Linked DNA regions of Arabidopsis thaliana. The protein of the gene in region 1 interacts with the protein of each later gene in a pairwise test. Each region holds a gene or a part of one and is shown in the gene's direction. Other genes may lie near its edges.

Region 1 (6,101 bases):
AAATATTAACTAACTTAACCACTTAAATGTTGTTTGGGGGCAGGAAATACTAGTAGCAATAACACGATTGATTTTGCATTACATAATCTAATTCTATGATTCTTCGGATCGATTAGTAACAAATACTAATTAATATTGATATACAAGCTAAGGAGTTATTTTCAATTGGTGGGACAAAACATATATGATATATGCATTGCATCATTTTCGCAAGTAGGTGCATAGATATTTTCTTAGACATCTATACTTGAAATGAGAATGGAATATTATATAAAATCATATGTAGGTTTGAAATTAATTACGTGTGGAGTTTTGCTCGTGGCTTTCACCAATATGGTGTTCCTATATATACGTACATATTCATGGCGCTTTTAAAACTATCATTGAGAAACACTACATTAGTATATTGGCTGTTTCCCTTGTATAATTCTTAGTTAAAAAGAGTTTTCTTATCCAGCAAAAGCAATACAAACTAAAAATAAAATTGTAATCTAGAAAATAGCTAGGAAGATAAATCATATAGTTTCCTTATCCTAATCAATGAAATTCGGATACACATTTGAGAGCGTGCGTAAATTATTAAGTGATAAATGCCAAATATTTTAAAACAACAAAATAACGATTTAAGTTAAACGGAAATATAAAACTAGTATATTGATAAGCAGCCGGTTAACTCGGAAATTTTAACTACAAAAATAGAATTAATTTACTTTCGCTTTCATGGAAAGTCTAGACTTGGATGATTCCAAATATTCAAATGGAGGGGGAAAAAACAATCATATAATTGACTAAAAAGCTAATGATAACCAATCAATAAAAATGGAGCATCATGTTTATCTCTACATATACATACATGATACAAACAAACAAAACAAAGTATGTTTCAATTGAAATTAAATACTAATAATTAAAAAAAAAATTAAAAAAATAGGAAAGGAATTGTATAGAGAAACGAGAAAAAGTAATGGCAGTGGTAATTAAGGAATGACAACAACGGGTGAATGAGGCGACGCTTAATCACTCCCATGCACACGTCCCTTTCTTCCCCCCACCTCTGCCGCCCTCTCTCTCTCCTCTCTTCTCTTCCTCCATTGGGAACTGCGAATTCTATTGTCAAAGCTTTAAAACTTTTTTCACTTAAATTTTTTTTCAAGAGCTTCGTCGTTTCTTAACTTACTTGCAAACACATTACATGTGTCATCACGTGCAACCCCAACCCCAAAGCCTAAGCTCGCGAATCTTCTAATGTATGCCTCAATCTTCCCTTGTTCATACTAGTACTACAATATCTTCTTCCTAAGATTTCAAAATTGATCATGAAGTGGTTTGTAGTTTAGTGGTCATCGCTATATTGATCCAATCTCATATTTTTGTCGAAAGTTTTGTATAGTAGCTATAAATTTGATTCTTTAGTTAGAATTTCTTGTTCTATTTATATAGAAACATAAATGCCTATAGCTATTTTCATATATTAACATGTGCTTTTAATTGTATAGACCAAAATTTAATTGATTGCAAAATTAGGTTTGTAATTGTTTGAGATCAGATAGAAAAAGGTCCATCTTTAAGCGATAATATCCTCAAAACTATTTTGTCATCAGTCTTGTCTCCTTGTGACCACAAGGTCATCTTAGAGGTACAACGGTATAGATGCTTAATGTCTACGTTTTCTAGTAAGGGTGAGACCGCATGGTCAACCGAATTTCTAATATAGGCATTATCAAAAAGAAATCTTATATTGGATGTTGACAACAAAGATTTAATAATAACTCGCATCATTTGACTAATTAAAAATTAAAAAAGATCTAAGTGAGATGTATATTTTTATCAAAAAAAAAGAAGTGATATTTGTAAAGAAATTGTCCAATTCTTTTGTCAATTAATATTATGTTCAAAGTAATTTAACATTTGTTTAATATCTGGATCCACTTGTCAAGATTATGCATTTTGTGATAAATAAAAACAAAGAGTGCGGTATAGTGGTGGTACAATTCAATTGTTATGTGGCAATACAATTTATAAGAATATACGGAAAAGGTATAAAAAAAACTGTTTGTGAAAAAAATGAACTGCTTATTCAAATGGTGTTTAGGGTGTAGTTCCGAAACTTATTAAAAAAACTAATGTATGTTTATTTTATCGATCATAAATTTTATTCGGCCACTTGATTTAATGAAAAATTATATAAATAGTTATTGTCTTATTAAACACCGGCATATTTATTTTTATTTGGTTTGTGTTATCTGTTCTACACCATCCAAACTTATTCCATTTATGTTGCTGGTTCACTACCGCTGACTCTGTTATACTATTCAAAACCTAAAATTGTATATAACCCATTGGAGAATTTCTTTAAAGAATATATGTATCGCTGAATTGAAATGTATAATACACCACATTATATATATACACACAGTATTACCGAATTAATTAACGAAATTAATAGTAGACGACCTAGAGGCTACAATTAGAGCATTTGTTGTTTAATTTTTACCCTCTAATATATTAATATCCCCTTTCCCTTCTCACTCCTTTCACCTCTTCTCTCTCTATATATCTTCCTTTGTGGTATATAATACACAGCAACCCAACAATCAAGAAGATCAGATCATGGTGGGGTTTTTTATTTTCTCCTTATCAAGAATCCTCTGATCAGTCAAATACCCATCAATCAATCAAATCCCCAAACACTCCCAAAAAAAGATCAGCTTCCAATATTTTTCCCCTTCTTACAAAAAAGATGTCTATGTCGTCTATGTCCTCCCCTTCCTCAGCTGTTTGTTCACCGGACCACTTCTCTCCTTCCGACCATCTCTGCTATGTCCAATGCAACTTTTGCCAAACCATCCTTGCGGTACAAAATAACCTCTCTTCAATACTTTCTCTCTCATTTTTTCTCCTCCAACTTCTCATCTTCTTGATCTATACAAGATTAGGGGTTTTTTAAATTCATTGTTTCTTTTGTGTGCTTATAGGTTAATGTTCCTTACACAAGCTTGTTCAAGACCGTAACTGTCCGATGTGGTTGCTGTACCAATCTCCTTTCGGTGAACATGAGATCATATGTCCTCCCAGCTTCTAACCAGCTCCAGCTCCAGCTCGGTCCTCACTCTTACTTCAATCCCCAGGATATTCTGGTACTTAAACAAAATTCAAATACATAATCTTATAGGGTCTCATTTAGCTTATTGGAAGTAATCTCAAGCCTCAAGGATATAAATATTATTGTAGGAGGAGCTGAGAGATGCACCGTCTAACATGAATATGATGATGATGAATCAACATCCTACTATGAATGACATACCATCTTTCATGGATCTTCATCAACAACATGAGATTCCTAAAGCACCACCCGTTAACCGCCGTAAGATACTAATTCTTCTCACTTTTATGATATTAACTTCTATGCTAACCGTGTTTATAATTTGGTTGTGATGATGAATCGCCATTAAGACATGCATAGCTTTTCTTATTTAACTTTCACTGGATCTCGTTCAAACCCTAGCACCATTGAATTAAGTCTAGAAGGAGATTTTTTACCTTTCTTTTCTTTGTATACTAGAAGGAGACATGAGAGATTATGATTTTGTATATTTAAAATATTCATTGATCCATGAACTTTAGTATGTGTTGATTGTCTACATATCCTAGATGGCTTTTAGCGTTGGTAAACATTAAAATAGTGACGATAAAAGAAACGGGGAGATAGATTCATGGATCCCCCGGAAATCTAGCTAAAGAGAAAAAATCTATGTAATATGTTAGAAGATGGGCTTGTCTTTAAAAAAACATGATGAAGTGATGATGGGTTAGAGAGAGAAAGTATTTGTGTGAGAGAGAAAAAAGACAATGAAAGTAGTTTTAATGAGTGTTTGTCTCTTTCTGTCTGAGTTTTTGTTTTTTCGCTTTGTCTTTGCCGTTGAATTTCGCCATTGCCAGCTCCAGAGAAAAGACAGAGAGTCCCATCCGCATATAACCGATTCATCAAGTGAGTCTCTTATTTAATTTTTACAATCATTCATATTCTAACCATAACTGTGTAACATTAATATAATTCCTTGTCACGTTTTTATTTTAGGGAGGAGATCCAACGTATCAAAGCTGGTAATCCTGATATAAGCCACAGAGAAGCCTTTAGTGCTGCTGCCAAGAATGTAAGAACCTTATTTCTCACATCCCAAAAATTTATATTAAACTGTTATCCATTGGTTGAATCAAATTTTAATAATCAAAAGAGTCCTTGATAATCCATATTTATCTCTAGTTCAATAAAAAAATTATTTTTTTAAACGCTGAAAATTCTAGTTAGAAGTGATGCGTTTTAAGTATTCTTTGTTTTCCTTTACTAAAGAATTTAAGCCATTGATACTACTAACATCACAACTTGGTTTAGATTGCCGGCAGAAACTAGGGTTTGATTTTATCTATGCGTATAGTTGCTCTTGTATTAGTTGTATATATATTAAACAGTCATATATGTAGGTATAGCTGAAATTAGGAGTAAAGAATTTTGTCGGGTTATAACACAAGTTGATATGTGTCTTGTACGTATGTTGTTTATGTGTAATGCAGTGGGCCCACTTCCCCCACATACACTTCGGGCTCGTGCCAGACAATCAACCCGTGAAGAAAACCAACATGCCCCAACAGGTAAACCCTAATCTGTCGACATACCTTACATCTTTAATGCATATACTTTTATGTAATATCATATATACAAATATAATTTCAATTGATTTGGATCATATCTTAAACATGTGTGTAGGAGGGAGAGGATAACATGGTGATGAAAGAAGGGTTCTACGCTCCTGCAGCTGCTAACGTTGGTGTGACTCCTTATTAAAGAGATAAATATAATCGACTAAGTATTTGAGGAATTGAAATCCAATTTCTTAGGGTTTATCATGTCCAAAAGTTGTGGTTTCTTTTCCTTTCTTGAACTTATTTATATATATTATAAATATGCATGTGTCTTTTTCTGTTGTTGTAATCAAAAATCTTGCTAATTAATGGGGTTTCTTAAGTTAATTTTCATTTGTAGTTGTATAATTAATTAACTTATCAAAATGTTTTCTTATTATTACTGAAAGCCGAATTTGAAATTTAAATAATCAGACTTTTTTAATAGATTTTTACACCATCGCCATATGTAAAAGAAACTCAAAGGAAATTACAACCACCAATTAATCCAAAGCTTTTTTTCCTCCAGAATGAATATATCACAAAAATTTAACCGAAGAGAAAACAAGAGGGGAATGATCATATTACATTTCAAAATTCAAACTAAACTAAGAATGGAAATATGCACAAGCATTTGCTTCCCGAAAACATGTAAAACGATGTGATTCTGTTCAAATTTCTCCATTCAAAATCTGATTCTTGAGATTGTTGCATATGGTTCAATCTTATTGCTCCCATTAATGGTTTTATAATAGTGATATGGTATAATTAAATAAGAACTGGGGCATGCATCAAACGACAATTGTTGTCAAAATAGAGGGAAATTAAAAGTTAAGATAAATTTATTTCGTAAGATCAAAAATTCAGTGATAGCAATAAGCTAATCTAAAAGTGTATATCAGACTTAAATTTAACTCGTCTTTTTTTCTTTTGGTGCAATATAGAGCGGTGGATATAAGTAGCAAATCAAACAAAAATGACATTAGGATATGAGCAAGCATGATAAATAACAAAAAAAAAACGTTTTGGGTCAAGTGACTATATGTTATCAGGCCTACTAGAATTCGGCCCATTAATATTAATGACGAGTTTCCTTAGCAATCAGTGGGCCTGGTATACAATAATGCGATGATAATAAAATGATTTAAATCCTTCTTTTTTTTTTCTTTTTTTTTTTGGACTAAAAAATGATTTAAATCCTTAGCACCGGATCCCAACGGAAATTGCTTCTCAGAATAGTTTTCTTCAGTCTCCGACTATATTTATTTCATTTTCCGATCATCGTACTATACACTCCCCAACATCGAGTAAACAAGCTTAGTTGTCAATTTACGAGTTCCAAAAGAAGAATCCAACAAAACGCAGTGTTTCGTTACTTCTAGACCCATCTAATTTCTACGTGTTGTATGCAACAATGACGG
Region 2 (3,573 bases), on another chromosome or scaffold:
TGTAACAACGTATATTTTCTCCACAGAACTAACAAATTCGAATCTATTTGTTTGATGGTGTTCATTTTTAATCCAATGTACATATGCAAGTAGTAGATATCTCTTTCTTTTTTGTATATACACGATATATAAAATAGTTCACTAAGTTATAAATCTAAAAATTTATTTTGATAATATTTTGTTTACCAAATAAATACACAAATAGTATATATGCGTTGTTCGTCATGATATCGTCATATATAAAATCCACTACAATATAAAATTTTGGTCATTTTGTTTGATAATATTTATTTTTCACCAGATATAAGCATGTAAATAATAGATTTTTTTTTTCTTGTCGGCTCGTTAACGACATTTATAACGGAATAACGGTATACTAAAGTACAAATTTTTATTCTATTCCCTTTATACCAAATAAGCTTTCATGGTAACATCCGCTAAATTATATATTGTCATCATGGTAACATCCGCTAAATTACAAATTTCAAATAATTTTTACTTTTACCAAACAGAAAAGTAAGAAATATTTTTTTGTCGACACTTTAACGATATATATATGTAACGGTATATAATTTACAAATTCAGAAATTTTGTTCGCTATATATTTTCTTACAAATTTTTTTTTTTTTGTTTATGTGTTAACAACATATATAACTACAAATTCGATAATTTTGTTTGAATATTTTTTCTACTAGATACACACACAATAGTTTATATTATATATATATATATATAAATCTTGACCTAACTAAAACATATAGTTTAAAAGGGTGTTATTAGTTCTTAATTAATTAAAAAAAATTCAAGAATCTGATAAAATCATAGATTGTAAAGAAATGAAAGTTTCTAAACTATTATTATAGAGTTTTCTATAATCTTGTTGATTAGTTTTTCACAATTTCTAAATTTTCTCAAACAATCTTTCTTTTTTAATGATACTTTTCGTAACTTTATTTTGGAAAAAGTGTAGAAAATCATAAACCAATAACACAATAATTTAATTCATTGACAATTATAGATTCTTTTGTTTTAGCTAAATAATATAAAATTTATAATAATTTTATAAAAGTATAAATCCAATAACTATAGATTTATCAAGATTTTAAATTATTTTTTACAAATCTTAATATTTTAAATTTTTTTAATTGAATAACAATAGATTCTTTATAATATTTTAAGTTACTAAAACTTTAATTAAATCACAAACTAATAACACTCTTTAATAGTGTATACTAGTATTATTGTTATGTCATTATATAGATTTAAATCCGCATATTACATTGCTTTAATAAGAAAAATTACTTAAAATTGCAAAGTGGCGATATAACATGTTTTATAGATTTAGTACAAATATGTTCCTAGTTTAAATAGGGATAAATGCAGCAAAAACCAAATTATATTATATTCTTAATAGGCAGTAACTTAATTTATAAGATTGTGATTTGTGCAGTCTTTGTTACAAAGGTGAAAAAGGGTAATAAATAAGATTCTTTTGGAGAAAGAGAAGTGAACACGTGGCAAAACATAAGTGGATATAATAACAAAAACCAGTTTTTATATGAAATAAGAGAAGCATGAGAGAGAGATAATTAAACCATCTCTCAAAATGGCTTTGACTGTTCACAAGAAAGCTCCCCAAAAGGAGCGTTGCTTTACTCTCCTATAAAAAGAAGCTCTTCTACTTCTTCTCGTTACCACAAAACTCTTTCACCGATCTTCTCGTTCCATTCTTCTTCCTAATTACACCATGCCCAACATCACCATGGGTTTGAAACCCGACCCGGTTGCTCCAACGAACCCGACTCATCATGAGAGTAATGCTGCCAAAGAGATTCGTTACAGAGGCGTTAGGAAACGTCCATGGGGAAGATACGCCGCTGAGATCCGAGATCCGGTTAAGAAAACTCGAGTCTGGCTCGGTACGTTCGACACCGCTCAGCAGGCGGCGCGTGCTTACGACGCAGCCGCGCGTGACTTTCGTGGTGTTAAGGCTAAGACCAATTTCGGTGTTATCGTTGGTAGTAGTCCTACTCAGAGTAGCACCGTCGTCGACTCTCCCACGGCGGCACGGTTTATAACACCTCCGCACCTCGAGCTCAGCTTAGGCGGCGGCGGCGCGTGTCGTCGTAAGATCCCGCTTGTGCATCCGGTTTACTACTATAACATGGCGACGTATCCAAAGATGACGACGTGTGGTGTCCAGAGCGAGTCTGAAACGTCGTCGGTCGTTGATTTCGAAGGTGGAGCTGGGAAGATATCTCCGCCGTTAGATCTGGATCTTAACTTAGCTCCTCCGGCGGAATAGGCCGTGAGTTTTTTTTTTCTTATGTCGTTTCTTTAGACAAAAAAAAATAACGTTTCCTTTTTTTTTCTGCCTAAGAAAAAAATATTATCCGTTTTTTAGAAGAAAGTGTAGAAAAGCTCCAATATAATTTTTAGCTGCCGTGAAAAAAAAGTCGTTATGTATATATTATTATGAAACCCTATTATAAATCGACGTAACATAAGAGGATCTTAAGCTTTTTTTTTTTCTTTAGTATTTGCCAAGGAAATGCATCATCGTAAATTCGTAATTGAAAAGATAAAGTATTATAGAGCTTTTTGGGGCTCGTGTGTAGAAGAAATAGATAAAGAATGGTAATGTTATTATTATAAGACTAAATATAGTGATGAGTATCGTCGTCGTCGGCTTGAAAAGACAATGGTCCAAGTGTCGTGAAGACACGCACCAATCGTGGGAGGACCGGACCCATCTTCTCTGGCTGCGGCGTACGTTAGAAGAATACTTCTTTACGCTTACGTCATTTTCACAGTTTGGACTGCTTTTCTAACTTTTGACTTTTGTGTTTTGCATCAACTCTTTTAACTCCGATGATTTATTAACAGATGGTTAAGAGTCTTGCTTAAGTTGAATAGTATTCGATTTGAAATGGTAAAAATGTTTTAAGGAAGTTGAAGATAAGAAGAGCGGCGGCTTCATAATGAGAGACAAAGGAAGGATGAGATTTGATTTTGATTCTTGTCGCCAACTTTGTGATCAAAAAACGTATAAAACAGTTATGCTCTATGGTCGCAGATCCAACGGCTGGAATCGTCATCGTTACCACGTGGACGCTTAACATAATTTAAATTCTTATTTCATATTTTTTTAAAGAAGTTAGTATGTTTTAAAATATATATATATGCATGCGTACAAAATCGTGTTAAGGGTTATAATAAAGGGATGTAAAATTGGGGCCTCTAGAAAGTTGAATAGTTTCAATTAAGCCCTTATCTTAACGACATTTAGCCCCACTCAACCAAATATACACCCATGTCATGTCACTACGCACAACTATGGATCACTCCCATAAGTAGATGTTTTATATCAATTGACGATTGCAACTTTTTTACGTTACAAATTTAATGCTGGACCGAAGGCTACCATACTAGGATCCGAAAGCCCGATCCACGTGTGGCGTCATCAGGACAATGTTTGCGACACGTCGGCTGAGGTGTTTGGCGCGGTGTTTATGATAACGGCGTTTACACAAACCTCTGTTTATGAGCTCTGTGACTGTGACTGTATGATTT
Region 3 (4,737 bases), on another chromosome or scaffold:
TTGTTTTGCTTTTTAGATTTGTCAAATATGCACAACACCTTTTAACTATCAATTCGTTTTCTTTTCTGTTTAGTCTTTGATATATAGTTTTCTTGATATTTTGATTGGTTTACTAATTACTACAAGCAGGCCGATACTTTTAGTTATTTATATTTTACGAGGGAAAATTATGGTCAATGAACATATTCTAGTTAAAACATAAAAAGATATCACATATATAAGTAATTAAAATATAAAATTTTGTCATTTGTAAATATGTTTGGGCGAAAATGTTTGGACATCCCATAGGTTTTATGTGGCTATGCGTAAAGTTTCTAATAGTTAGACTAATCAACGTTCCTAAGAGATCATCAGAACTAGTTACACCTTACACGTAACGTTAATGATTCGTCTAAACTAAGAGACGATAATTAGCCACAATAGAAAATACTATATTTTGATTTTTGAGAAGTTTTATCTTCATAAAGCTTAGACATTTGAAAAAGAATAGTAAGATTATAACAAATATATTTTACAATTTTCAATATATACTAAGAAAGATGAATTTGCCTAAACTCAAAATTAATATGTGTAAGAATTTTTATAATTGGTTTTCTCCATTTCTTTTAACAAAATCATATGTATATTCAAATATACTACCTGGCAATTATTATATGCATGCTTATGTTGGTTTATGTAATAACTTGGATTTATTTTGTTACACTCAATTTCTATAAAACACAAATTTGAGATTTTTAAAAAATATTTATTTAAAATATCTTCATAATAATTCGAATTTACTTTTATATTATTTTTTTCTTTTGTATTCTCTAATTCAATTATATTTTTAACGTTACCATATATATATATATATATATATATATATATATATTACGCTGGTCCTAATTAGTAGTATAATCTATGTAACACCGTATATTTTGATTCTTTGAACAGCTTATATGAATAATCATCACATAAGAAGGAGCCTTCTTCATCACTATTCACTACATATAAAAATTCGTTTCAGAAAAAAAAGATCAATGTTCTGTCCACATCAGAGTATCAAAATAATTTTCTAAATTTAGTGCTACATCTTTTAACGACAATTGTATGTCAATGAGATAACTCCAATGGTGGAAACAAAAGAGAAGCATTACAAATTTGCTTTTATATATCTATAAAGCACTGTAACTATGGTTTTATAAATAATAATATCAAACTGGTAACTCATTCAAGAGTCACAGAGGAGAAAAAACAATCCATCTGTTTCATAAAAAAAGCAGTTGGATTCTATTATATCATGTGGATCTCGTGAACTACCATAGAGCCATGGATTAATCACTGTCATTCTGTCAATAATAATTCTATCTATTTATTATTCTGTTGTCACATATGTACAAAATATATGTAAACTTCTCAGTTCTGTCTGAATCGCTGAAATTTTCGCTAAATGTGCAATTAATTTCCCGATCGCTTGAAGTTAACAGTTACGACGAGAAACTGACGTCACTTTTTAATTATTGTAAAGAATGAAAAAGAGTGTTCGTATAGGGTAATTGTATTATTGTAAAAAACTATGTATCCAAACACAATAAATACACGAACAACATTTATTTTCACTCACTTTGATCACTGTACGTAATAAGGAAAAACATTTTATTTGAATGAATATTTGTACAGATTGGAGAACCACGTAAGCCCATCTCTTTTATTTCCAAAAATAACGAAAAATTCTCAAAGGGAATAGTTTATAATGTAAATAAAATTCCAAAAATAAAACACAAAAGATATAAAGCAGCAAGAGAAAAAAAAAGTCCATGCTTTCATATTCATTGCTTTAATCTCTCTCTCTCTCTCAGACATAGACACAGCTAAGCTTCCCATCTGAAAGGAGTTTCATGTCCTAAGGACCATATTATAACCTCTCTATCTCTCTCTAAGTATCAGCAAAAAAACAGAGATTTATAGAGAGAGAAAAAAACTATGGCTCACATAAAGATCTAACAGAGACAGTAGTATAGTCCCACTTCCCCACCACCAAAGCTTCGATCATCATCATCATCATCATCATGGATCCGGATCCGGATCATAACCATCGACCCAACTTCCCTCTCCAGCTTCTTGATTCTTCTACCTCCTCCTCTTCCACTTCCTTAGCCATCATCTCTACTACTTCCGAACCTAACTCCGAACCTAAGAAGCCTCCTCCTAAACGAACCTCTACTAAAGACCGACACACCAAAGTCGAAGGCCGAGGCCGTCGGATCCGTATGCCTGCCATGTGTGCTGCACGTGTCTTTCAGCTCACACGTGAGCTTGGTCACAAATCCGACGGTGAAACTATTGAGTGGCTACTCCAACAAGCAGAACCAGCGGTTATAGCCGCTACAGGGACTGGAACCATTCCGGCTAACTTCACTTCTTTAAACATCTCACTTCGTAGCTCAAGATCTTCTCTCTCTGCTGCTCATCTTCGTACAACTCCTAGTAGCTATTACTTTCATTCACCACATCAGTCCATGACTCATCATCTTCAACATCAGCATCAGGTTCGTCCCAAGAACGAGTCACATTCTTCGTCTTCTTCTTCTTCACAGCTTTTAGATCACAACCAAATGGGTAACTATCTAGTACAATCAACTGCTGGATCTTTACCTACGAGTCAGAGTCCTGCAACGGCACCGTTTTGGAGTAGTGGTGACAACACACAGAATCTTTGGGCTTTTAATATTAATCCTCATCATTCCGGTGTTGTCGCCGGAGATGTTTACAACCCCAACAGTGGTGGTAGTGGCGGCGGTAGTGGAGTTCATTTGATGAATTTTGCAGCTCCTATTGCTTTGTTTTCTGGACAGCCTTTGGCTTCTGGTTATGGAGGAGGAGGAGGTGGCGGTGGAGAACATAGCCATTATGGAGTTTTAGCGGCGTTGAATGCTGCTTACCGACCGGTGGCGGAGACGGGGAACCATAACAACAACCAGCAAAACCGTGACGGAGATCATCATCACAACCATCAAGAAGATGGAAGCACCAGTCATCATTCCTAGGCAAACATACACAAACAAATATATTCTGTGAGATTTATTTTTCTTTTTTTGTCCTTTCGTTTGTTTGTTTGTTCTTAACAAGCGTGTTTTTTTTGCATTGCTTCTTTTTCATATATTTTTATTTATTTCTAAATTCTAATATTCTACGGATTTCATCTTGTTTATTTTTCTGATTAATGTATTGAGTAAGTAATTAAGAACCTGATAATCGATATGTTTTAGTTTGTGGTTTTTGCATGCAAGGCTTTGGTTTTATTATTCTAGAGATTTTTGCTTGAAGTAGTTGTCTTGTGAAATGTTTTCCTCATTACTATTGAGTGTGAGAGTTTTCTAATACTTGATTAGGGTTTTTGAACAATTTTTATATATGTATATTAATTCAGTACGGATTATCAATAAATTATTTCGCATGCCAAATTATTATCTTCCACTTCGTTCATGGTTACATTGTCTCGAAGAAGCTACATCTTATGCATTGTGAGCAATTATTCAGGTTCTAGCTATCTCTTTTAATATGTTAATTTCTTTGCATGATTAACATCTTACTCCTGACTGGTCTATTGGTGACTATGCTAAGATAATGTAGATATATATAGTAACAAAATCATATAGGTCAAAGCATTAAGTGTGATTGTTTTGGTTAATTATAAGTGTGTTGACGAGGGGATGCATTGTAGATATGATGCCATATTAATGCCAGTAGGTTTATGCGCATGGTGGTTTGGATACGTTCAATTTATAGCCGTTGCAAAAATTGAAGGCATTTAATTTTGCTAATGATATTACCAAAATTATTTGATTATGAATCAAAAGATACAAGGAGAATTATCAAAAAAAAAATATATAGGTCCATTATCCGTATAAGGTAGCTAAGAACTTAATTAGTCTGGTGCTATGTTTGAAGACTCACGTACGATTTACAATCTCTGGATCTATGAAACTCATCACCAAGCAGGAACCTGTATTTATACGTCAATATTTGTGAATTTTCGGATACCCAAAAAATACCAAGAATATATATTTCATTTTCTGCTGAAAATCAGAGAAAAATGTGTTTTAAAAACAATGTCTATAAACAAATTTATAGATTGAAGTTAGAACTAAAAACTTTTGATGGTTATAGATTTCAGCTTGATCATTTATTTCTGAAGTGTTTTCGTTGGATGAAACATAGATTATATATGTCTATAATTAATTGAGACATATACATTGATGATATACAAAATAACCAGGAATTTTTCGTTATACAGAAAAATACACAAGTCTATGTAACATGCGTAATAACCATATGGTCCATATCGCTGCATTTTGTGTCGGTCTACATTATTGGATTTATTTTAGTATAATGTATGTGATACGTTCTTACCATGCATGGGTATACATAGAGAAAGGTGTATAAATCAACGAGCATGGGAATTATGACGTTAATAATTCTAAAATAATGCACACACATCCTGTTAATATAAACAATATAAATTATATATCAGTTTATTATGGAAATAATACTTGAAACTTCTATAGATCGGTGTGAACCATTCCTTGACATCATAGGCATGTCGGTTATATAACCTCATCCATATGTTCTATCAATTAATCAAATATGGTAATTAAAGAAAGTCAAATATTGTGACATACATGCATTTTTTTTTACTAACGGTTGATATCAAGCATTTATAGACGAACGTCTATTTGATGATCTCAATAATCATAT

What was found.
Region 2: the proteins of AFO (region 1) and ERF8 interact in binary tests that used the Arabidopsis thaliana proteins (3 or more experiments, as listed by UniProt).
Region 3: the proteins of AFO (region 1) and TCP15 interact in binary tests that used the Arabidopsis thaliana proteins (3 or more experiments, as listed by UniProt).

What each region holds. Positions count from the first base shown.
Region 1 is NC_003071.7:18,627,192-18,633,292, reverse strand, and holds AFO (Plant-specific transcription factor YABBY family protein), read left to right. Parts: upstream 1-2,513; 5' UTR 2,514-2,740; coding exon 2,741-2,854; intron 2,855-2,864; exon of another isoform or gene 2,865-2,975; coding exon 2,976-3,137; intron 3,138-3,231; coding exon 3,232-3,364; intron 3,365-3,939; coding exon 3,940-3,988; intron 3,989-4,078; coding exon 4,079-4,154; intron 4,155-4,572; coding exon 4,573-4,650; intron 4,651-4,765; coding exon 4,766-4,843; 3' UTR 4,844-5,041; downstream 5,042-6,101.
Region 2 is NC_003070.9:19,820,271-19,823,843, reverse strand, and holds ERF8 (ethylene response factor 8), read left to right. Parts: upstream 1-1,591; 5' UTR 1,592-1,747; coding exon 1,748-2,305; 3' UTR 2,306-2,507; downstream 2,508-3,573.
Region 3 is NC_003070.9:26,214,401-26,219,137, forward strand, and holds TCP15 (TCP family transcription factor), read left to right. Parts: upstream 1-1,608; 5' UTR 1,609-2,048; coding exon 2,049-3,026; 3' UTR 3,027-3,671; downstream 3,672-4,737. UniProt on the Arabidopsis thaliana protein: Transcription factor involved the regulation of plant development. Together with TCP14, modulates plant stature by promoting cell division in young internodes. Represses cell proliferation in developing leaf blade and specific floral tissues.